Linked DNA regions of Canis lupus familiaris. The protein of the gene in region 2 interacts with the protein of the main gene of each other region in a pairwise test. Links are inferred from orthologs where the notes say so. Each region holds a gene or a part of one and is shown on either strand. Other genes may lie near its edges.

The links.
Region 1: the proteins of RBM10 (region 2) and CEP70 interact in binary tests that used the Homo sapiens proteins (3 or more experiments, as listed by UniProt). The two-hybrid records come from large-scale screens. The link is inferred for Canis lupus familiaris from reciprocal best matches to the Homo sapiens genes RBM10 and CEP70.
Region 3: the proteins of RBM10 (region 2) and RBM12B interact in a two-hybrid assay, tested with the Homo sapiens proteins (3 studies listed by BioGRID). The link is inferred for Canis lupus familiaris from reciprocal best matches to the Homo sapiens genes RBM10 and RBM12B.
Region 4: the proteins of RBM10 (region 2) and SF3B4 interact in binary tests that used the Homo sapiens proteins (3 or more experiments, as listed by UniProt). The link is inferred for Canis lupus familiaris from reciprocal best matches to the Homo sapiens genes RBM10 and SF3B4.
Region 5: the proteins of RBM10 (region 2) and CPSF7 interact in binary tests that used the Homo sapiens proteins (3 or more experiments, as listed by UniProt). The two-hybrid records come from large-scale screens. The link is inferred for Canis lupus familiaris from reciprocal best matches to the Homo sapiens genes RBM10 and CPSF7.
Region 6: the proteins of RBM10 (region 2) and THAP1 interact in binary tests that used the Homo sapiens proteins (3 or more experiments, as listed by UniProt). The two-hybrid records come from large-scale screens. The link is inferred for Canis lupus familiaris from reciprocal best matches to the Homo sapiens genes RBM10 and THAP1.

What each region holds. Positions count from the first base shown.
Region 1 is NC_049244.1:35,301,043-35,305,209, reverse strand, and holds the start of CEP70 (centrosomal protein of 70 kDa), read left to right. Parts: upstream 1-1,367; 5' UTR 1,368-1,512; coding exon 1,513-1,527; intron 1,528-3,188; coding exon 3,189-3,279; intron 3,280-3,441; coding exon 3,442-3,565; intron 3,566-3,886; coding exon 3,887-4,067; intron 4,068-4,167.
Region 2 is NC_049260.1:40,963,372-40,966,871, reverse strand, and holds part of RBM10 (RNA-binding protein 10), read right to left. Parts: intron 2,518-3,500; coding exon 2,334-2,517; intron 916-2,333; coding exon 685-915; intron 1-684. UniProt on the Homo sapiens protein: Binds to ssRNA containing the consensus sequence 5'-AGGUAA-3'. May be involved in post-transcriptional processing, most probably in mRNA splicing. Binds to RNA homopolymers, with a preference for poly(G) and poly(U) and little for poly(A).
Region 3 is NC_049250.1:39,289,783-39,293,282, forward strand, and holds part of RBM12B (RNA-binding protein 12B), read right to left. Parts: intron 2,877-3,500; 5' UTR 2,829-2,876; intron 2,179-2,828; 5' UTR 2,151-2,178; coding exon 1-2,150.
Region 4 is NC_049238.1:59,867,874-59,872,129, forward strand, and holds the start of SF3B4 (splicing factor 3B subunit 4), read right to left. Parts: upstream 2,801-4,256; 5' UTR 2,678-2,800; coding exon 2,644-2,677; intron 2,197-2,643; coding exon 2,068-2,196; intron 1,800-2,067; coding exon 1,257-1,799; intron 934-1,256; coding exon 727-933; intron 1-726. Other genes in the region: MTMR11 (myotubularin-related protein 11), read right to left, coding at 4,003-4,149. UniProt on the Homo sapiens protein: Component of the 17S U2 SnRNP complex of the spliceosome, a large ribonucleoprotein complex that removes introns from transcribed pre-mRNAs.
Region 5 is NC_049239.1:55,593,396-55,597,457, reverse strand, and holds the start of CPSF7 (cleavage and polyadenylation specificity factor subunit 7), read right to left. Parts: upstream 2,801-4,062; 5' UTR 2,645-2,800; exon of another isoform or gene 2,572-2,644; intron 2,479-2,571; exon of another isoform or gene 2,365-2,478; intron 2,044-2,364; 5' UTR 1,979-2,043; coding exon 1,925-1,978; intron 337-1,924; exon of another isoform or gene 205-336; intron 1-204. Other genes in the region: SDHAF2 (succinate dehydrogenase assembly factor 2, mitochondrial), read left to right, coding at 2,875-2,910.
Region 6 is NC_049237.1:23,673,943-23,678,242, reverse strand, and holds the start of THAP1 (THAP domain-containing protein 1), read right to left. Parts: upstream 2,801-4,300; 5' UTR 2,125-2,800; coding exon 2,054-2,124; exon of another isoform or gene 1,969-2,053; intron 1,830-1,968; exon of another isoform or gene 1,574-1,829; intron 1,568-1,573; exon of another isoform or gene 1,143-1,567; coding exon of another isoform or gene 1,090-1,142; intron 1-1,089. UniProt on the Homo sapiens protein: DNA-binding transcription regulator that regulates endothelial cell proliferation and G1/S cell-cycle progression.

The DNA.
Region 1 (4,167 bases), on a different chromosome or scaffold from region 2:
TTTCTCTTTCTGTGACTATCATAAATAAATAAAAATTAAAAAAAATAAAATAAAATAAGTTTGTATTTGTTAAAGATGTATACTGAAATCTAAACATTGAAGAAATGAAATAAGAATGCAAGAATGTTGGCTTTCATTGAAGCTGTATTCGTGGATTTATTATACTTTCTCTATTTTTGTATATTTCTAAAAATTTCTCTAAATTTACATTTATTTATTTATTTTTGTATATTTCTAAAAATTTCTCTAATACAGTTAGGCAACGTGAATATTTTTTATTGCCAATCTACTTCTTCTGATTTAACAAAAGATACTATATCTCCAGCAGCCCCTAAAGCCTAGGAGAAATTATAACTAGGTGAACGGTTTGTAAAAGCAGGATGGGTTACCAAAGTAAGGGTGGTTGAGTTGTTAAAGAGACCAAAGCTTACAGGGGAGATAGTATGACATTAAGCACAAAAGTGGCAGAATTTGGGAATTTGTAACATGTTATTGGGTTTATCTGAAAATAAGGTAGAAAGACTGTACCCTGTAGACCAGACTTAAGGGTGACTGGTAAATTGTTTGGTTGGATTTCACTATCTGAAACAGACATAAAAGAGTAGAAGGGTGCTTTGGAAGAAATACTACCTGGCAGTGAAGAGGCCTACCTTTTTCCTTAGTAATTCTGAGAAGATCATTTCACTTTTCTGGGATTCAGATGGTTATAGTACCTGATGTCTTGGTACAACTCTCTCATATGCTGCTCTGCCAGCTATGAACAGCTAGAGATTTTGGATTAAACACTATACAAGGTCCTCTCAAGATCTAAAAGTTCCTGATGCTAATGAATGTGTATGATTGTGCTTCTTGAAAGGAGGAATTATATCTACATACCAAAGAATCCAAATTTCCCTATAGGATGATAAAGTCTTAGATGATAAGAAGAAGTAATGGTAGGGTAGACTGAATATAAACTTTTGTGTCTGCCAGTCACACAGAATTCTTTGTTGCTAGCCTCTGATCTACTTAGAAATACAGACTACCTAAGCAAGTGGCACTGCATTTACCCTTGGTGTTTAGTCCAGTGAATTGTTAGACTGGCCTATAACTTTGGGTCAGGTATAGTTCTTTTGGCTTCAAGAAGCAGCTTCCACAAGATAGCAGTTTATTTATTAGTAGCACGTGCTTTGTACATATCTAATTAAAACAAATAGTTCTGTGTGTATGTGTAAAACTCATAATGTTTTATTTCTAGAGGAGAACATTATAAGATAGGATTTATTCTAATGATTCTTAAAATCAGCTTTCTAGGAAGTCATACAAGTTTTGACACAGGAATGCTCAAATTGCCTAAGGGTTATCCATTCTTTTAAATATAATTTTCTTTAACACCTATTGAACTTTTTCTTTTTTCATTTAGGCAACGTGAATATTTTTTATTGCCAATCTACTTCTTCTGATTTAACAAAAGATACTATATCTCCAGCAGCCCCTAAAGCCTAGGAGTCCAGTAAATCATTAAACAGACTCATGACTGAAAAACAGGTAAACTTGAAATATTATATATATATTATAAATAATATATATAATTATATATAATAACTATATAATTATATATATATAATTTGATCATTCAAAATGTGTGGCATTATTTACAGAGTATTTGGTTTTTATGAGTCATAGTAGATAGCCACTGAGATGCCCACATAGCTTTTGGTTCCTAAAGCAGATAGCTTCAGTAATTTTAATTCTGGATCATGAATCTTTGTGACCAACAACATAAATAAGGGAAAAGATTGTAGGAGGAGAAGTGTGGAAGGGATAAAGAAGGTGAAGAAAGTCAGCAGTCAAAAGGAAAGATTTGGTGCTGTTAGTAATAGTGCTATTGTAGTCATACCAGTAGAGAGCTTAATGTTTGGGGGCATTTGAATGTGGAGAGTAGTATTTTTATATGTACTTTGTCTATATTAATCTTTAAGCTATTACAATATTTAATACTATATCACTAGTAAAAAAACTATTTTATAAATTATATTTTTCAAGCACTTAAACATTGATTGTAAATTCACTCAGATTACCTTTTCAAATATACTCACATAACTTAAAAAGCAAGTAAATTAACTTCACACAGTGATTTCAAATTGATCATTGTATTTACATTAAAAGACTATTAATATCATGGGTTTAAATATCCAAAAAATCATCTCTATTTTTATTCTTATCTGTATTGTATATTCTTACTACCTTTTCTTCCCATTATTGTTTTTATTTACTTAATTTAGAGAGTTAGGGAAAAAAAAATTTAGAGAGTTAGGGTCCCCCTCTCAGGTTTATGGTACGAATAGGTATTTAGAATCAGGGATACAAAACTTGAGAATATCTTTCAGAGTGACGCTACTAGAATCAGTTACTTAGATGGACAGACTCCTTTTTATAGTTAGACCTTGTCCACTATACAAGGGACTATCTACATCATTGGCTTTGACTATTCAGGCATTTTGATTTTTTTTGGTGACCTTATTCATTAAGTGGTACTTGTTTCTGTGTGACTTGCATTTAATTTACTGTTCAGTAAATATGACCTAATTGGCAGCTGTTTCTTATCTTTCTTTAAACTTTGGTCAAACCTTTTTTTTTTTTTTTTTTAAGATTTTATTTATTTGAGAAAGAGCAAGAGCCTGCACACAAGCAGGGGTAGTAGGGTCAGAAGGAGAGGGAGAAGCAGACTCCACACTGAGCACAGAGCCTGACATGGGTTTGATCCCATGATCCTGAGATCATGACCTGAGCTAGAATCAGATGCTTAACCAGCTGAGCCACCCAGGCACCTTGCAGCTGTTTCTTTTGAGTAGGGCCTGGTGTGATTTGGTTAAGCAAAAAAACCCTAAGGTTTGTTTGGTTCATTGAAATTACAAGGTGTTTTTTGGTTGGTATTTTTGTTTCAATTTATCCATTACAGCCTATATGTATGAGTATGGAATTATATAATGTGCTTTATTATTTGTGCTTATTTGCATTCTTTTTGATCTGCTAATTTTTTAGACATTTGTTTTAATTTTAATCATCATGTGTGCATAAAAAATTCATATTAAGAAACTTTGGAGAAAAAGTTCCATTATTTTGTAAACAAGGAAATTATATTTGAGAGGGTGTTTCTTCACTTTATATATTGAAGTTGATCGTTCTCTCACTCCTTGTAATTACAGCGAGAAGAAGCAGAATGGGAAAGCATAAATGTGCTGTTGATGATGCATGGCTTAAAGCCTTTATCTCTAGTCGAAAGAACTGATCTTAAAGGTAATCAAATCCTATTCTTGCTAGATCCTATCCTTTCTCATTATGGTAAAAAAATTGTTTTTCCTTTTATTTTTTTATTATTATTTTTTTTCCTTTTAAAACTAATTTTTATCTTAAATTTTTTTGCCTTTTTTACTATCTGTATTATATTAAAAAATGTAGATCTCATCGTTTTTGATAAACAGTCATCACAAAGGATGAGGCAGAATTTGAAAACATTGGTGGAGGAAACAACACGTCAACAGAACATGATCCAGGAGCTCATAGAAACTAATCAGCAGCTTAAGTAAGAAAACAGAATTCTCTTTTGAATTGTTTGTATACCAGTGGTATGCATTCTAAAAATAATGCCTTGAATCTTGAACTTTAATTTTCTATTTTGACTAAATATTAAGTTTAAAAAATATTTTTAGTAGGTAAATCTTTCAGTAATAGCTTAGCTTAGATATGTAAGGGTGCCTTGTATTTCTTCCATTGGTTTGTGTTATATGACAGAAATTTTAACAATGCAATGAAATTTTAGAAATTCGTTATGTTGTTAGATGAGTATGTTTGTTAATGTGATTTCCTTCTATACTAAGGGAAGAAATCATGTGTCTGTTTTTAGAAATGAACTTCAGCTAGAACAAAGCCGAGCAGCCGATCAGGAACAACGAGCTAATGACTTGGAACATATTATGGAGAGTGTGAAATCCAAAATTGGTGAATTGGAGGATGAATCCCTAAATAGGGTTTGCCAGCAACAGAATAAAATAAAAGATCTTCAAAAGGAATATAAAGCTTTACAGGTATTATGTGTTTTCTTATATGATAGTAGTAAAACAGCTCATTAAGGTCACAGGTGACTTCTATGTCACTTAATTCAGTGGTCTTTATCTTATTGACAGA
Region 2 (3,500 bases):
AGGGGAGGTAGAGAGGAGACTCAGGGAGGCTGGGGAGGAGGCTATTCTAGTGGCTCCCTGGGGTTTTACTGCGACTCATTAGGGGAAGCCTGTATGAGAAGAAAACAGAAGAAAAGGGAGGAATACGGAAGGAAATGTCACAGAGCATGGGGTGGGTGGGGAGGCTGTCAGTAGCAGCAAAGGAAGTCAAAGAATGTAGGACTCTGTGGCCAGGCCACTGAGATTTGATGCTGCTACCAAAATAGGGAGGGGGTGAGGCTATGGGGAGAGAATGTGAATAAAATCTCAGAAAATCTCATGGGGACCCTCCCTATCCCCAGGGCTGCAGGGCCCTACATCATCTCTGCCACCAGGAATACCCAGCTCTGGGCCTGGTGAGCATCTGGCCTTCAATCAACATATGCCGAATGGATGGATGACCAGTGGAATGTTTGGGAGGAATGCTCTGTTCCCTCCCACACCCACCACCGCAGCCCCTTGGCCAAGCCAGCCTATCCGACACTCCTCCCTTCCGGACCAGGAGAGTACAAGGGCCTGCCCAGAGGACGGATCAGTGCTGGGGGAGAGAAGGGATAAAAGGTGCTGAAGTCGGGGTGAGGGAGAAGCTGGGGGCCCTGGAGGAGACCCAGCCTGGCCTCCTGCTCTGTCGCCTGCCCGGAGCCATGGGGGGGGGGGGGCACGTACGTCATCCTCAGTGGCTGCCTGTGGCAGCATCCTCAGCATGACGATGTTACTGGCCTTCTCCTCCTCCTCCTCCTCCTCATCCTCCTCCTCCTCCTCCCCTTGCTCGGTCCGATAGTCCTGGTCCCGATAGTCGCCGTCTCGGGGGAAGCCTGGCGGGCCAGTGGGGCTGTGCCTGTGCCGCCGCCGCCGCCTACGCTGAGTCTCGGAGCCCGGGGAGGCCTCGTAGGAATCCTGGCCAACAGAATGAGACGAGAGACACCAGACGGGCAGTCAGTCTGGGGTGGGCCTAGGGGCTGGCCGCTGGCTCTCTGAGGCAGGCGGGCTCTGAAAGCCAGGGGTGGGCGGGCTCCGGCTAAAGACTCAGGGCAGGCAAAATGGGTCAGCCCTGGACTGCAACCCTTCTGGGGTGGGAAACTGTCCCCGGATGCCTTTTGGGGGCTGCCTTGGTGGGGAGTGGGGAGAGGCTGGTGGCAGTAGTATTACTGTAGGGGAGAAACTCCCACAGACAGGTGACCAGACTGCTTAAACTTCCTTGGGTCTGGGGTCAGCACCCTAAATCCTGCCCCCTGTTTCTCCCTCGTCCTCCCTTGCCAGCTCGGCTAGAATGTGCACGACTGTTCTTTATGCCTTATGATTTCTGGCATGGGCCAGGGTTCTAGGAGCCAGTCAGCAGGGACTAGCAAAGATGTGAGGGCCACAGCACTGCCCCCAGCCCCTGATCCTCCTCTGCCTGGCCGGTGCTCTATCATCACTAGGCTCCCTCCTAACAGGGTGTGGTCACGGAGTTCTTGGATGTTGCCCAAGCCATCCTGCCAGGACTAAGCAGGCCAGGCCAGGGTCCACACCCCTTCTGCCCTCAGGGGGACGAGATAACTCAGGTCTCCACTCCCACTCTTCCCAGTGGGTCCACCCAGGGCCTCCTGGTGCCCTGGAGACATCCAGGCACAGATCACAGCTGCCACTGTGAAGCTTGGCTGCCCACTCTATACCCCGGGGCTGGGTTGCAAAAGTACCCTTCCCACCCTGCTGGATAGGAGAGCTGCTTGCTTGCTTGGACCCAGGGTCCTCTCAAACTGGGGTTCCCTTAAGGCAAGTCTGCTGCTTCTCCTCAGATGGTGAACGCCTCCCCTCCTCAGGCTAAGGCTAACTACCCAACGTGGAACTGGCTACCCTCTGAGCTCAAAGGGAGAGGCCCTAGAGGGTCTTTCCCTTTTGTATAGGGGCTCTGTTGCCCCTGTAAACGCCCATGGTTGGCCTCCCAGAGCTACTCTGCTTGGTGATATCCAGTGTCCCCACTGCCCTCCCAAGCCCCACATGCTGGGTCTCATGCAAAAGGCTCTTCAAGGACCCCAAACTGGCTGGGAGCAGGCAGTAAAATAAAGGGCTTGCAGTGAACCATGAGCCCAAATTAAAAAACAAGGAAGAAGGGAAAGAGGTGATGGCCAAGGGCCCTCAGAAGTACAGAGCCAAGCAGGTGGAAGTCAGGGAGACCCAGTTTGGGAGAGGAGCCCTCAGAGAGGAGCAGGGACAGACCCTCCAGGTGAGGCAAAGCCACTGAGCACAGTCTGAAGGCATGGGAACTGAGAGCTACCTGCACATGGTGCTACAACCAGAGGCCCTGCAGGAATTCTGTCCTCCTCGGCCCTCACCTCTGCACTCTGCTCCTCAGATGAGTCGTCGTAGTCATGCTTGCCCTCCTGGCTACCATACTCTCGGGGATATGAGCGGTAGTCCATGTCCCGGTAGTCGTGGTCTCTGCTGCGATTCTCCCCACCATCATCCTGCGAACGGTCAGTGGCCCCATAGCGGCCAGTCCTGTCCCCACGACCACCTCTGACGGAAGAAGAATGGGGAGGGATTAGAGGGCAGTCCTTTCTGAAAGGTGTAAGAGGTGGGGGGCTCCCACTCATTCCCTCTAGACCCTAGATCCCACTCCTGACAGGGGTCCCAAGATCCTGACTCCATGAGGCGAGCTGGTCCTTACCTCTCAAATCCAATCCATTTCTCTTTCCCCCTGCCACCTCTCTAGTCCATGTCTGTCTTCCTTCACAGGGCCATCGGGTGTGGCATCAGGGCCTGGCTCACCTCCACCAGGCCTCTCCTAGATCATTCTTTATGCCCCAAATGTGAGCCAGTGTTCGATCAGGCAAAGCCAATCAAGCCCAATCACTGCACTCTCTTCAACGGCTCCCTCTCATTCTCAAGATAAAATACCAAAATGCTCACCAAGGTCCTGCAATGTCTGCAGGGTATGTGTGGTGATGTCCAACCGACCTCTCCCTCTGCCTCACTGTGTGCTATGCTACCCTGCCCCTCTGTTTCACAGTTGCCCTGCTAAGCACTGGTAGTGTTTTGTTAAAATTTTTCCTATTGTGATTACTGTAAGATAATTATCTCTAACTTGACTTCATGGGCATTTCTTTTTTTTTTTAATTTTTTTTTATTATTTATTTTTATGATAGGCACACAGTGAGAGAGAGAGGCAGAGACACAGGCAGAGGGAGAAGCAGGCTCCATGCACCGGGAGCCCGACGTGGGATTCGATCCTGGGTCTCCAGGATCGCGCCCTGGGCCAAAGGCAGGCGCTAAACCGCTGCGCCACCCAGGGATCCCGCATTTCTTTTTTAAAAAAAAGATTTTATTTTTAAGTAATCTCTACACACAACATGGGGCTTGAAATTACAACCCTAATATCAAGAGTGGTGTGCTCTACTGAGCCACTAAGGCACCCCTCACTTAGATTTCTTTGATGATTTAAAAAAAGTACTTGACTGTGAGTTCTGGGAAAGAGGGGACCACACCCAGAGGGTCCATTG
Region 3 (3,500 bases), on a different chromosome or scaffold from region 2:
CGGAAATCCTCCTCGGGAGAACGCCGGAAGTCCTCCTCGGGAGGTCGCCGGAAGTCCTCCTCGGGGAGTCGCCGGAAGTCCTCCTCGGGGAGTCGCCGGAAGTCCTCCTCGGGAGGCCGCCGGAAGTCCTCCTCGGGTGGTCGTCTCCATTCCCCCTGGGGAAGCCGCCTGAAGTCGTCCTCAGGAGGCCGCCTCCAGTCCTCCTCAGGTGGCCGCCTAAAGTCTCCCTCGGGGAGCCGCCTCCAGTCCTCCTCGGGGGGTCGCCTGAAGTCGTCCTTGGGAGGCCGTCTGAAATCCTCCTCGGGGGGCCGCCTCCAGTCCTCCTCTCTAGGGTACCGGAAGTCCTCCTCTCTAGGGTACCGGAAGCCCTCCTCCCAAGGGCGCCTGAAATCCTCCTCGAGCGGCCGCCGGAAGTGCTCCTCCCGAGGGCGCCTGAAGTCTTCGGGAGAGCGCCTGAAGTCCTCTGGGGAATGCCTGAAGTCTTCCGGAAGGCTCCGGTCAAGCTGCCGGAAGTCCGCCTGGGTTTGCTTGAAACTGTCCAGCTGCCTCAAGTCCTCTTGCTGGTGCCTGAAGTTCTCGGAGGGGCCGGCGGAGTATAGAGGCGGGTCACTGGAGTCAAATGAATGGGCATGGTCGTCTCTGTCACAGGACTGCGAATGGCCTTGCATTCTCTCCGTGGACATCAAGGAAAAGCTTACGCCAAACTCCTGCATCTGTGCCTCAGATATCAGTCTTAACAATACCTCTGTCCCCAAGAATCTCCGCCGGTTTAAACGCTCAGCTTTCACGGCCTGTTCTTCGGTTTTGAATTTCACCAATGCTTCTCCCAGACCGACTCCTTTGTCATCATAAAGTAAGTAAATATCATCCTCTCCAAGAGAAAAGTCTGCAAAGAACTTTTGCACTTCAACTTTTGTAACATCAAAAGGAAAATTTCTTATGTATATACACAGTTTCTGGCCGGGATAGCCTTCTTGAGAGTATTTCTGTGAAACATGTCCAAGCCTCTCTTTCTCTACAGACACTGGTCTTTTCTTTTCGTAACATTCAATGAACTTCAGCATCTGTTTTCTAGAAACAGGATCAATATGAACTGGACGATATTGTAAAACAGTCTTATGTAAACCCAAAGCGCTGTTATAATCTTTCAGAGTTTTGAACATCACAAAGGCGTATCTCGTTCTTCTCTCATCCTTATATAAAAACCTAATCTGTTCATTAGTCAGATCAGTATCTCTAAAGAAATTTCTTAAATCTCTCTTGTTAATACTTAGGGACAGATTTTTTAAGTGAACATAAAATCCAAGAGGAGAACGAGAACGTGTTCTTCTGGGAGATTTTGAATGAGATCGTTTTCGAAAATGCCGATCATTAATTCCTCTTGGCGGAGAATGTTCTTCAGTTCTCATAGGAATGTCAACCTCCTTAACTGCATTACCACCAAACTCAATCCACTGTTGTTCTGAGCCTTGCATTACTTCTATGAATCTTGAACCCATAAAACTTCTATGACATTTAAGACCACCTGAAGCATCAATACATGAAGCAAATTTTACTATGGCATCACCATTATTTCGGCCATCATGATGTTTTAAGAAAATTACGCCATCCACACACAAACCAGAGAAAAAGACACGTACATCATCTTCATTTACTAAGTAAGGCAAACCTCGCAGAAACAGGTAAGGATTCTCTGCCTTCAATGGCCGTGTCTTTCTTGGCCTTAAATCACCATGTCCTGTACCGTTAGTATGAAACCCAGCATCTTGATTAATTGGAGAGCCATATCCAGAATTACTTGCTTCTTCTTTAATAGCCTCGACAAAGTTAGATAAGCTGCCAGCCCCTGACGCCCCGGATCCCGGTCGCTCTCTTCCTATGCGATCGGTTCTTCTCATTTCTATAGTCTTCTGCATTTCTGCCTTACTACTAAGAAAGAGCTCTACAGATGAATCCTTGATAAACCCTCCTGAACGACTTATGGCACGTCTTGCATCTTCATCTGTTGCAAAAATAATAAAAGCCTCCCCAATTTCCCCTCCAATTATATGCACTCCTCCATCAGGAATAGTCAATCCCGTGAAGAAGTGACGAATATCCACAGGCCCCGCAATAAAAGGAAGCCCCAGTAAACGGATGACTACAGCCATGCTGAGCTCAAACCACAGCAATAATGACCTGCAGACAAAAAGGTACACATAATAGCAAGTCTTATTTTTGAAGTACCTTATCCCCAACTAAACTTAATAATTACTTGGTTCCTACCTTCTTCAGCATTTATAAATGAAAATAAGGTATGATACATAATACCTTATTATGTAAAAATATGTAAAATTTTTTGTATTATAAATACAAAAAAATATGTAAAATTATGTATATGTAAAAATACAGTATCTAATCTCTTAAAGAATAAACCTCCCATCTAAACATACAAATAAACCAACTGTTTCAAAGAAATATTTCATATCACCTATCCTATACAATATAAGCATCAAAAATATCAAATAATCTTTGTAAGTCTGCCAAGCACTGCTTCACAACAAGACCAAACTATTTTCAGACTCACTTAGAAACCTACCTTCTCCTAAAACATGAGAGAGAGCTTTGTGGGTTAAAGAATTTTACTAACCAACGATGAGTTTTACATATTCAAAAAGCCATCTATGGTCAGTACATAATTTTTGCTTATGATAATAAACTGTCTACCATTAGTATACATCACTGGCCACACATAAAGTACAGAAGCCATGTGTACCTACATGTCCTATTCTACTTTACATTTCTTTTGTCAAGCTTCTGTGAAAAGCCTTAAGCTCTGGATATCTTACCTTTTTATAATTTCTTGGAGACCTGTTAATTCTGTAAAAGCAACTTAACTGTGGAAAGAAAATGAAATATAATTAATCCTTGGACCCTGTAATTGATCTTAAACGACACCAGATTAGGATATTCCCTTCAGAATTACCTACTAAGAAGCAATATAAGGAACCACAACTATGGGGATTACAAAATGGTCTTCTTTGTTTCAAGGGAAATTAATCATCCTTCAGCAAAAATGAAGTTCAAATTCCAAGTAGGCATCTGCAAATTATTTAAAAACAAAAAAACTTCTGGAAATTGAATGGCTCCTTGATTGGAAGTGGCACGAGGAAAAAGGTGTATAAAGGTTATACATTTTTATTAGTGTTGGTTACATGGGTGTATAAACTTATCAAGATTAAATGAATACTATCCTTAAGTTTTGTGCATTTCACTGTATATAAATTTTACATGCACTTGCACTGTTCTACAAGTAAAATGACAACTTAGAAACACCAAAAATTCCCAAAAGCCTTCTATCACTTCCACTTGTGAAAAGGCCAAACACTTAGCTCATTAAGTCCAACTCTCTTGCAATTTTCCACCCTTTTAAAACATAAGGCCAAATCAAACTAATAAGGCAACCATTCAAAATGATACAACAAAAAAGACACTAACGCTTTGAATTCAAAAACCGATTT
Region 4 (4,256 bases), on a different chromosome or scaffold from region 2:
ATAAATAAAAATTAAAAAAAAAAAAAGAAAAGAGAACCAGATACAAAAACCCAGCTACATGGAGAGGGAGAAAAGCCTACTAATGTGGCTAACTTTTTTTTTTTTTTTTTTTTTAATTTACGATAGTCACACAGAGAGAGAGAGGCAGAGACACAGGCAGAGGGAGAAGCAGGCTCCATGCACCGGGAGCCCGATGTGGGATTCGATCCCGGGTCTCCAGGATCGCGCCCTGGGCCAAAGACAGGCGCCAAACCGCTGCGCCACCCAGGGATCCCTAATGTGGCTAACTTTAAGGAGTCTGAGACAGATGAAAAATCCAGAAACACCAAGAGGCAAGCTTTTCAAAAAGGACAACACACCCAGTTTCAAGTACACCAAATGGCAAACCAGGTAAAGAATGGAAGTGCCCCCTCTATTTGGCAATTAGGTCACTGCTTTGGGGTAGAAGTCGGAGGAGAAAAATGAAGTAAAAGTTAAAGGAAAAAGCAAACGAGTACAGTTACACTCTTTGGAAAAACTTGTATAATAAATGGAGACAGGGTGGTAGCTGTTAAAGTAAACAGAGAACAGTGTCTCGTGTTTGTTTTTATAAAAGAATGTCTGAAAAAAAAGCAGAGCTCCGGGACTATCTACTATTACTGCTGAGGGATGAGGGCAGCACTGCATGTGGCAGTGGAGCTCCTCCAACAAGCTTATCTATCCTTTTCCCCAGCAAAGAACACTCACCTGGATGGGGCATCCCACTTGGTGGGAATGGGTGAGGATGCGAGTGTCCATGTCCAGGATGTCCAGCCCCTGGGGTTCCTGCTGATGGTGGACCGTGTCCTCCAGCACCGGGAGGCATAGGTGGCGGGGGCATGGCTGGGGGTATCCCGGGTGGAAGGGCTCCAGGAGGCGGCACCGGGGGTGGGAAGGACCCAGGAGGAGGCATGCCTATAGAGGAAATGAAAGACAAGTTAACGATAGTAAGGAGAGAATGTCTTTAGAAAGCCCGTTCAATCTGGCCTCCTCAGGCAGGATAAGTTCTCTTCCCTTCCTCCCAGCTCTCTAAAATCAGAAGCAATACTAGATAACTAGGAACAACTTCAGCCTCTTCAACTCAACAACTTTCTCCCCACAACTGTCACCCCTCACTCTCTTTCTCATCACCTACTGACTCCATGTCCCCCTTTATCAAGTTCTTTTCTCCTCCCCTTGCCCCCGCTCACCACCACACCCCAAGCCCAAGACAAAAATACTTTGAATAAAAGCTTTACCTGGTGGCGGGAGCCCAGACCCCAATGATGATACGACAGGATTGGGGGCTGAAGGCGGAGGGGGTGCATCTGCAAACAGCTGATGAGGGCGGTCAGCCTGGGAGAGTGGGTTCTGGGCTGCTAGAAGTCGTTCAGCTGCTGAGCCGTGGCGCTCCCCTTTCGAGTCCTTCTTGAAGGCATAGGACACAGTAATGGGGCGATTACAGAGATACTGCCCATTCATGGCCTCAATAGCTGCATCCGAAGCGTCAAATGAAGCAAAATTAATAAAGGCATAACCTTTGGAGTTGCCTGTATCAGGGTCCCGCATAATCTTAGGGGTTTGTAAGATGACCCCGAAGGCGCTGAAAGTATCATAAAGCAGCTTCTCATCAATTTCTGGGTCCAGATTGCCAATGAAAATGTTGGCCCCCACGTCCAGGTTCTTGTTGTGAGCCGATGCCTTGTTCACTCGTATTGGCTTCCCATATAGTTTGATCATGTTCATGATCTTAATGGCATAGTCAGCATCTTCCTCACTCAGGAATTCCACAAAGCCATAGCCTGGGAAGTAGAAAAGCAGAGATTAACTTAAGTGAAGTGATTCAATTTCGTGTGTAACTCATGCACCTTCCAAAGCACAAAGAACATGAAATAACCACCTCACTTCAACTGGGAATGGTTCCAGAAGCAAACATTGAATGACACTTAAAAGGAAGAATCTACAGGTGATTCCAAAACGGCTATGAATACTGCCTATGAATACTGCCGGAACCCTCCAGGAGCAGCTTGTCCCCTCAATGCATAAACACGCCTCTTGTGATGTACTCACCTTGGTGCTGACCTGTGACTCTATCCTTTGGCATGTGGGTGTTGACTACTGGCCCTGCCTGGAGAAAAAGCTCCCACAGCAGGGGTTCGCTAACCTTCTCATCCAGTCCCCCGACGTAGACAGTGGCATCTAAGAGAAATGAGCAGATTATGGCAGGGATGAGACAACGACGGGAAAGAAGGAAGTGACAGGCGGGGGAACTGGGAGTGGAGATGGGATATAGGAACAAAAAAGGAAAAAGACGTGAGAGTAAGCCCTTACATCTCTCTCATTCCAGAACTAAAGAACCTTCTTAAGTCTAACTGAAGGTTCTGCTGCAAATTCTCTGTGAATTGCTTTGTTTTTGGTTTTCGTTTGGGTTTTTGTTTTGTTTTGTTTTTTTGAATGGGAAGGCGCAGGAGATTGGACAGAGCATCACAACCACAGGCCTCAGCCTGCACCCGGCCACCCCACCCCCAGCCGGCACGGGGGCCGGGTTCGCGCCCTCCGGGGGGATCCGATCTCCTGCCCCGGCGAAAACACGGCTGGCCTTCCTCGAGGCCTCCCAGCCTCCCTGGCCTCATCCCCTCCAACTACCCTGGTTCCGCTCGGAGATCGGGCCGGCCGCCATGGCGAAAGAGCTCCCGCCGTCTCCAGGCAGCGATCCCGCCCTCTGACCTCAGTCAGTACTTCCACTTCCGGGGCGAAGGTAGTCACGAGGGCGGTGGGCGGGGCCTGATGGGGGAGGAGCCGGAAGAGGCCCCGGCCATCTTAGGAGTTGCGGAGACTTGATGCGGCTTGTGGGGCCGCGTTCTCCGGTCCGTGGTTCTGCGCGGATTTGCCGCTGCTAGCGGTCAAAGCGATGAGGGCCGAACGGAAATGCCCAGACCCTCTTAAGGCAGTGCTGGACGTTAAAGGATCACAGTACTCCTAAAAATGTAAACTCAAAAGCTAAAAGAACAAAACTTTATTTAGAAATATTTTGTTGGCAAACTATCCTTTTGTTCCCCGGAGAAGGGTGTGCTGAGGAAACCCTCCAACCCAAGGATTCGGCTGCCTTAGGGTGCGGAGGCAGCCCTCCACCGTGGCCCGCGGCTTCTGGGGAGAGGATTGCGGAGTGTCTGAGCTGGAGTGGCGTCGGAGCTCACATGATCCTGTTGCATGGGGGAGATGGAAACCTGAGGCTCAGAGATGATGTGTGCCCAGAGCTGAGGGTACCTGACATTGCAGCCCAGGGGCCTCAGTTTCAACCGCCAGAATACCCCGGGCCCACCAACCATGTCTTTGCATGCTCTTTGCCCCATCTTACGAAACGATTAGTGTGGACAGCCTGACCTATCTCCATATTTCCTGAACAATAATATGGTGGGTCCCTTCTTCTCCCGGTTTATCATCGCTTTTTTACTTAGGATCTTTTATTCAGACACCAGAGATAATGCCAGCAACTGTACTTTAATGAACTCGTTAAATAGAAATGTCACTACAAAATATACAATTGGGAGAGACAGGATGTGTCCCATACCCACTAGCATACCCATAGAAAACCAGAGGGAAGAAACAGAAATTGGAATTAAGCAGCAAGAGGAGGTGAGAATGAGTTCTGTAGGCCATCTCCTTTGAACTGATGAACAGCATCTCTCATCTCACAGCTTATCGGCTGGGTATCCAGAGGGATGGAATTGCCCTGAAAAGAACAAAGGTAATCGTATTCTGGATTGCTTTTGTTTCTTAATTCCTCAAATCATGAGAAACATATCTCGAGAATGAAACAGGACAGGGCAAGAGTTGGAGAAGGTTAGCACCACCCATCTGCAACAGAAAGGTCAGTGAGCTTGTTGAGGGCTGGAGTGTCAAAAGCTGAGACAGCAAGACCAAGATAAGAAAAATTGGAGGATTAGACAGAACCTTCCCTCACCCCGGACCCCCTCTGCCATGCCCATAAAAAAGACAACAATTTCAACGGGACTGGGAAAGAATGGTATTTGGATCTCTTTTCTTGGAGTGATCCTCAGGAGATACTCTTGGTGTCCATTTCCTTAAAAGCTCCTGAAGATGGGATAGCTCATCCTGGAGGCCAGAGATTGTGGGAGCTGAGAGGCCTTTCTGAGAAGGGGGTGAAGAGAGGCAGAGAGGAATATTATTATAGCTCTAGCTCCCTATTTCTGAGATGTGTCCACTACTTCTGGCATCTTTTTTATTATTATTATAAC
Region 5 (4,062 bases), on a different chromosome or scaffold from region 2:
TAATGGGTAGAAGGTCACTATACTATTCTACTTAGGTGTTCTAAAATCTCCATGTTAGAAAACGGCATAATATGTTAAAAATATTAATATAACTTGTGCCAAGTGAAAAAAAAATGACATGTATAAAACCTTTGTTGCCTTGTATAAAAGTCAGGGTCCAACCAGGGCACCTTCTTTAATCTGTCCTTTTTATCCTTTTTCCAGGTCCTTATGTGTACCCACGTAAGATGCTAATGAAAGGTGCTAATGGGAAGAACCAGTTTACTCATGTAAAATAGTGCTGAAAACAATTCCCGCAAGATATCACTAACTTTTAAATACAGAGTATGGAACATTCTTGAGATTGACTTCAATGTTAGATTATCATTTTGAGGAATATCACTGCATAATGTTCCTTGAGGTAATATAAACCGACCGACAAATCCAGGGTATACCAAGGGGTCTACATATGCTTTTTAACTGGTTTGTCCAACACCCTTACCTCTACCCTCTAAACAGTTACATTCATCAATAAAATAAAATTTATTACACCAAAATGCCTATGCACCTCTCAAGACTAGAGGCAAACTACTTACAGAAGGAAGACCCCAAACAGGCAGAATGGAGCTGCAGTTCAATGTTAAAGTATCTTTTACACTGTATTTTTGTACTGCCTTATGGAGGAGGGGACTACATTTCCCCAGCTGCCCTTTCAAAGAACTGCAAGGGGGGAGGGCGCCTGCGTGGTTCAGTCCATTAAGTCTCTGACTCTTGATTTCAGCACAGATCATCATCTCAGGTATGTGAGACCAAGCCCTACATCAGCTCTGCACCGGGCATGGAGCGCTTAAGATTCTCTCTCCCGGGGATCCCTGGGTGGCGCCGCGGTTTGGCGCCTGCCTTTGGCCCAGGGCGCGATCCTGGAGACCCGGGATCGAATCCCACGTCGGGCTCCCGGTGCATGGAGCCTGCTTCTCCCTCTGCCTGTGTCTCTGCCTCTCTCTCTCTCTCTCTCTCTCTCTCTCTGTTCTCTCATGAATAAATAAATAAAATATTTTTTTAAAAAAAAGCCAAATTCAGGGGATCCCTGGGTGGCGCAGCGGTTTAGCGCCTGCCTTTGGCCCAGGGCGCGATCCTGGAGACCCGGGATCGAATCCCACGTCGGGCTCCCGGTGCATGGAGCCTGCTTCTCCCTCTGCCTGTGTCTCTGCCTCTCTCTCTCTCTCTCTTTCTCTGTTCTCTCATGAATAAATAAATAAAATATTTTTTAAAAAAAAAGCCAAATTCAGGGGATCCCTGGGTGGCGCAGCGGTTTAGCGCCTGCCTTTGGCCCAGGGCGCGATCCTGGAGACCCGGGAACGAATCCCACGTCGGGCTCCCGGTGCATGGAGCCTGCTTCTCCCTCTGCCTGTGTGTCTGCCTCTCTCTCTCTCTCTCTCTCTCTGTGACTATCATAAATAAATAAAAAAAAAAAAAAAAAAAAAGATTCTCTCTCCCTCTCCCCTTCCACCTCCTTCTCCCTCTCTAAAAGGGGGCGGGGGGGGGGGTGGGAGAATAACCGCAAAGGAAAAAGGTATGAACACTGTCCTCATGAATACTAACCTAAGCAAACCTAAGTGCGATTTTCTTAAGTGTGGCTAGTCTTTGAGGAGACTGACAGCCAAGTTCGGCCTCCTGGGGGAGCAAGTTCCACAGGTTGATTCACCATTCTATTATATCTAATTTTTATGTGCTCTTAAAGCTTGTAAAATTAAGCCTTGGCAGCTAAAAATCAGCATAACACGCAATGGTCGGCCGTCTTTAAAGTCTGTGGTGGAGTAAAAAATCTAGACCCGACAGGAGGATGTTCAGGCCTAGCAAAGACTGTCAGTGCTTGAAACCCCTGCAAGTTTGGTCAAAGTGATTCAGCGGAGCCCAGAAAGCCCCGATGCTAACGCCCCCTCACCTGATTGAACTCCTCGTCAGCATATATATCAATCAAGTCCACTCCTTCGGACATGGCTCCGGAAGGACGATCGCGAGCCCGGAGAACGGACAAGGCAAGGAAGATGCCACTGCGGTACCCTGGAAGAGGCAAGTTAGAGGCGTGAGGGTCCCGGGCGGGGAGGGGAGCGATGGTTGCCAACCTCCGGTCTCCAGAGACGCAGCATCCCGGCAGCCCAAGCTCGGTCCCACCCGCCCGCCCCGCCCCCGGCCTCGCGCCGCCCCTCGGACTCCCAGGCCGCCGCGGCTCGCGGGGCTCGCTGCCCATCACCCTCGGGCCTGACCCGAGTGCGCCGCAGCTGCCCGGGCGCGACGGCGAAGCCCAGGCCTCCGCTGCGAGGGGCCCCGGGACGGCGCTGCCAAGCACGCCCGCGGGGAAGCCCGCGCCCCAGCCCGCCGCACCTGCCGAGGCCCCACGGCGTCCCGGGCTCGAGTCCCCGCGGGTCTGGTTTCCGGCCGCTTCCACTCCCCACCCGGGCCCAGTCCTCGCCCCCAGCTAGGCCCGCCCCGCTCCCTCCCCACAGATCCAGCCCGGCGCGCTCGGCCTCCTCCTTCAAAGCCCGCACCTCCCACCGCCCGTCGCCTCCGACTGCCCCAAACTCAACCGACCCCCTCCCAGTCTCAGCGCTGGCCCCGCGCCCTCTTCCGGCTCAGCCGGCCCCCGGCCGCGCGCCCCCGTTACCGGGAATATGGCGGCGGCGGCGGCGAGTCCGGACTAGGCCCGAAGCGCGCGAACCGCTCTCGGCCCCAGGCCCCGCCCCCTCCGCCTCTGGCGTCACGCGCACAGCCACTTCCGCCACACGCAGGGACGCATCTTCCGGCTCAGGCGCTCGGCGCCGAGGTGCGCGGTTCAGGCGTTCGGAAGTTCCCGGAAGTGGCCGAGCTGTAGGTTTCCGGTGCGGGTCGGGAAGGATGGCGGAGGCCGCCACGTTCCCGGGTCTGGCACGGGTGAGGCGAGTGGAGGTCTCAGGGCCCTGGGCAGGCCGTAGTGGGGGCTGAGTCCCGGCTTACAACGCAGTCGTGGGGACTGCGAGGAGCGTGCAGCTGCCTGGTATCCCAGGGCAAGGGCGGAGCCAAGGAGGGATGCGCCTTGCAACGTAGGAGATTCAGGTCACGTTCACTCCTTGCTGAGCCCGCCGTGCCCGTCCCGTGTGCGAGACGCGGTGCAGATGTCACCTGTTTCCCCGGTGGAGCTGGCTGCACCGCCTCTGCGCCAGATCTGAAGTCTGTTGTGTGGTCTAATACCTGTTAACGATTGTGCAACTCGAGGTCATGCGTTGTTGTCTTAGGGCTCCTCGTGGACACTGAACTGCTCTCAGTGCTGCTTTTTTGCTGCTTCTCATGATGTATTTGTAGGCCGCGTTGTCGCTCGTCTCAAGATCTTTCCGAATTCCCCTTGTGATCTTTGACCCATTTGAACCATTGGTCATTCGTGAGCCAGAGTGTCGGTGACTTTCACATATTCGTAGATTTTCCAGTTCTCCTTCTGATGTCGGTCTCTAGTTTCATCTCATTGCGGTCCTTTGTGGCCTTTTGATCTTTTTTTAATTTTTTTTTAATTCGGTAAGGCCTAGTTTGCATCCCAACGCGATCTATCTTGGAGAATGTTCCTATCCAAGTGTGCCTGAAAATAGTGTATTCTGCTGCTGGTTGGGATGTTCTGTATGTGTCCATCCCCATCTTGGTCCATTTGGTCTGGAGCTGTCGTTCAGGGCTTCGGTTGACTATATTGACCTTTTTTTTTTTTTTTTTCTGTCCAGGAGTTCTATCCGTTACTGAATGTGGAATATTGAAATCTGTTTTTATTGGGTTGCTGTTGATTTCTCGCTTCAGTTCTGCCAGTGTTTGCTTCATATGTTTGAGTGCTCTCATGTTGATTGGAAACATATGACTGTTAAATATTCCTGGCACGTTGACCCCGTTACCATTATATAATAAATGTCTCTTATTTCGTGACGGTTTTTTTTTTTAAATTTTTATTTATTTATGATAGTCACAGAGAGAGAGAGAGGCAGAGACACAGGCAGAGGGAGAAGCAGGCTCCATGCAGGGAGCCCGACGTGGGATTCGATCCCGGGTCTCCAGGATCGCGCCCCGGGC
Region 6 (4,300 bases), on a different chromosome or scaffold from region 2:
ACTGAAGGCGGCACTAAACCACTGAGCCACCGGGGCTGCCCAATTTTTTTAATTTAAAAAAATAAAAGTTTTAATTTATTTTAGTCTTCTGATTTGTTTTTAATTCCAGCATAAGAATATTATTGATCTTATTTTACCTCGAAATCAACTGGAATATGTCCATCTGGCCCAGAAAAGTGGGCTTAGAAAGGGTTTATATTTACTGTGATTTTACTTTTCCAAGTCAAGTATCTAGTGAAATGGGGAAACTGGAAAGCCAAAGGATGCTTCAACTCCATGTTCTAGCTTCTCTTCTACATAAGGTATGCCAGAGCTGGACTCTGCTATCATGAAGAACTAACCAATCTTTGGGACAGTTCTTTTCTTTGCCCAGAACAGCTGCTGCCACTGGGCCACCATGTAGAAAGTGGTAGAAGATCTCTGCTGGAAATGGCCTCCAGAAATACAACAGATGGTAGCCATCACCAGTAAAATTCAGCCCCTTGGGCCTCCTGTCTTACACACTACAATGATCAGGCTGTTCATGATGGAGTTCTGTGAGAATAATTCCCATCTATTTCCAAAAAATTGTTCTTTATAGGTAAGAAGGAGAGGCAGATCAGCTCCTCCTTTGACCCAATCATTTGACAGCCAGCAGAAACTATTTCTGATGTGTGAACGCCATCCTTAGTTTCTAGTACCAATGAAGGGTTTTCCACATTTTTAGATTCTTTGATTAGAAACGGGGTTGTGCAGAGCTGGCTGTAACATAACAGTGTCACCGTCTTCTGATCTATTCCTACACTTTCAAAGAACTGGAAGTCAATTCATCAGCTTTCAGAAATTCCAACAAATAAAGAAGTGATCTCAGGATATACTGAAGTAGATCCTGGAGTGTTAGGTGCTCTCAGTCGTCCTGCAGGTGGAGGGCAGGATGGGGATGGTGGTGGTGGTCCATCAATCAACACTCAGATCTGCGTGGTAAGGCACTCATTTCCCTGGGTCCCTCTTCTACTAAGCATAAAATGCACCCACATCCCCTGTTACACACGACCCCACCAAAAAAACTGACGGAATACTTAAATTTTGCTTTTGTAATGATTTACTTACGTATAATTGCTATAATTTGCCATCGGTTTGGTAATAATAATGTAAATAATCATATTTATAATAACGTAAAGTCTGTAAACACTTTATTTGGCGGAATGAAAATGCCATCGAGTCCCACTTTGCAGACATCCGATGATCACGAGGTCGTTTCTCCCACAGGCCTCTCTAGCCGCCAAAGCCATCACGGCCCCGGGACCTGTGGGCTTCCTCGGGGGCGAGCCAGCTGTGCGGACCTGGGACCCCATCGCTGCGCGCCAACTGAGGTCCTGGCCGTCCCAGAGGCTCCCTCCAACAGCCAGAGGTGCCCCGAGGTGGGCCCCTAGGCACTGAGTGCACACGTCCTCCCCGAAAGCCTGAGCTGCTGTGAAGCTGGCCTCCCAGGCACGCCAAGGCTGGGAAAAGAGCGGCTCCGTCACGTTCACAGCCTCTGTCTCGGCTCCGTACTGACTCAGGAGGCGCTACTACGCCCTCGCTGCCCTCTTACCCCGAGCAGAGGCTCGCGCGGCGCCCACGGACGCCGCTCCTGGGGCGCCGACACGTCCACGGCAGGCGGCGGACGAACCCCGAGCGTGGATTCCGACTCTCGAGCGCAAGAAACGGCCATGGCAGCCACGCGCAGCCGGAGGCGGCAGCACGAGAGCTCCGACCCAGGCGGGTACACCCGCCGCCCGGCGGACGGGGGACGGGGGACGGGGGACTAGGGACCGCGAGGAGGACCGGCCTGCCCCGGCCCCTCGTCGAGGCTCGCGCGCACACCCGCTGGCCCCGCCCCGCCCCGCCCCGCCCCGCCCCGCCCCGCCCCACTTATCAGGGCTCGCGCGCACACGCGCTGGCCCCGCCCCTGCCCCACCCCGCCCCTCATCCGGGCTCGCGCGCACGCAAGCTGGCCCCGCCCCCGAGCCTAACCGGCCGCTCGCCCCCAGCCCGAGCTGGGCCAGCCCCGCGAGACGCGCGGGGTACTTACTTGTGGAAAGAAACGGGCTTATCCTTATCGTACCGGTTCTTGCAGCCGTAGGCGGAACAGGACTGCACCATCCTTCCGGCCTCCACTCACTTCACTTCTGCCGCTCCCGCAAGCAGGAGAAGCGGCTATCGATGCCGCTGCGCTGCGCTTTGACACCCTCACTCCTTCTGTAGCTTTGGTCAACAGTTTCTGTGATGATAAGCTCCCCCGCATTGACTACTGTGCCCGTTTTGTTGTTTGCATTAGCAGAAGGACCACAGCCATCGCCCGTCTCCCATCTCCAAGATGGCGGAGGCAGCTTCAACCTCACCTCTCGCGAGGAGTTTGTCCCACTGTCTGATGAGCCCCGAGGTCAGAGGTAACGTTCCTTGGGAAGCAGGCCATTGGCTAAGGCCAGGCGTTGCGGTAGTGGGTGGGGCCTCCGAGCTTCCGGAAGAGGGAGAGGAAGTGTTTTGGGAGTAGCGGAGAGGCGAGGGGAGGGGACGGAACCGTGAGCGCGGGGCTAGACTCCGCCACCTGCTTGGCCCCGTGTGTTAGTTTATCTGGGACGATGCGGGGTGGAGAGCAGCGGGGTCTTTGGGTGTGGTGGCGTAGAGGAGGGCAGGTATGAGGGTGAGGCCTTTGGGTAGCTCTTCCCGTTTCTCTCAAAGGGCAGCCACAGATGGAATATGATCTGTGAAACTCTGTGGACCCTTGCCCACATCGCCAGGCTTCATCCCATTCATTACCTGCCCTGCAGGTGTCACAAGGCTCTGAGGGCGCAGGCGCCTGAACTGTGGCAGTGCGAGCGGACACTCGCTCCCGCCGGAGGGCGTAGCGGTAGTGCCCCGCAGGTGCCGGGTGGGATCGCGAGCTGCGCGGGTGGGTCCGTCCGCTTGCCTCCGGCGGCGTGCCCTCCCGTCTGCAGGTCGGGGCCTGCGAGTCTGCAGCGCAGGCTGGTGACGAATTCCACGGCTCTATTGTACTCTTTCTGCCTACCCCCGCCTCAGTCCTCGTGGTTCCCCAGGGTTCCATCCTCCGCCCTCCTCCTCCTTAACACCCTGCTGCTTGAGTTCAATAAAACGCTCTGATTTCCTAATGGTCTTCTATTTCTTATGTAAATTTTTCTGCCTTCGATTATCCTCTGTGAATTATGTGTTCAGTTGCTTAAACCGGAAACCTTAGATTTCTTTCCCACTCTCTACATCTGTTTGATGACCAGGATAAGTTTATAAAGTAAGTAAATACTTGTTAAATCCATCCCTCCTCTCCTCGTTGTTCTTGATCAGGCCCTCTCGCGTTCTCTTAACCATGCAACAGCCTCTGACTGTCCGAGGTCTCGTTTTGCCTCTCCAGTCTATCCTCCACAGAAGGTAATTGTCATACACCTGTTCACATCTTCAAAAGCTGCCTCTACTCGATAGTGTCATAAAGCCCTTGAGGACCGGCTACTTCTACCTTTTCACTGTATTCTCCATCCACTTGTCTTTAACTCTTTCCTACCATCATGTTTCACACAGGGCAGGCATTCTCCTGGCTTCCATAAATAGCCTGTTTGCCCTTAGGCTGAAATGCCTCTCACTGACCTGTCCACCTTCAAGATGTGGCTCAGGTGTTATGTTTTCTAACATGCTTTCTCTATCCTCTTTTTCTTAAGCCTCTCAACTTAGGCACCTCTCTTGTTCCAACGAAAACTTTGCGTTTAACCTCTCTGTATATGAACCATACGTTACTGTATGGTTGTCCCACTTCATGGACTGAGGCCCTGTTGAGGAGGACTTTGTCTTAGCCTTGTAACCCCAGCAGCTTGCAGTGTCTGGCATTAAGTATCTAGAAAATGTTTGTTAAATCAACTGGGCCCAGAAAACTTGAGGAATTTCAGAGCCATATCCTTTCACCAAATACTAAAATAATAGTTTATTAGCATTTCCAGGGATAGACAGAAATTTCTTCTGTGGTTTACTGTGCATGCAATAAGGATGAGAATGTGATAGGGATGCCTGGATGGCTCAGCAGTTAAGCTCTGCTTTTGTCTCAGGGCATGATCCTGGAGTTCAGAGATCCATCAAGCTTCCTGAGGGGAGCCTGCATCTCTCTCTGCCTATGTCTCTGCCTCTCTCTCTCTCTGCCTCTAATGAACAAATAAAATAAAATCTTTAAAAAAAAGTGTGATAGCTGCTTGTGAACTGAAAAGTATATTTTAACTAAGAGTTCACTGAAATTGACTCATCAGCTGATTCAGCAGATATTTACTCAGCATTTGCTATG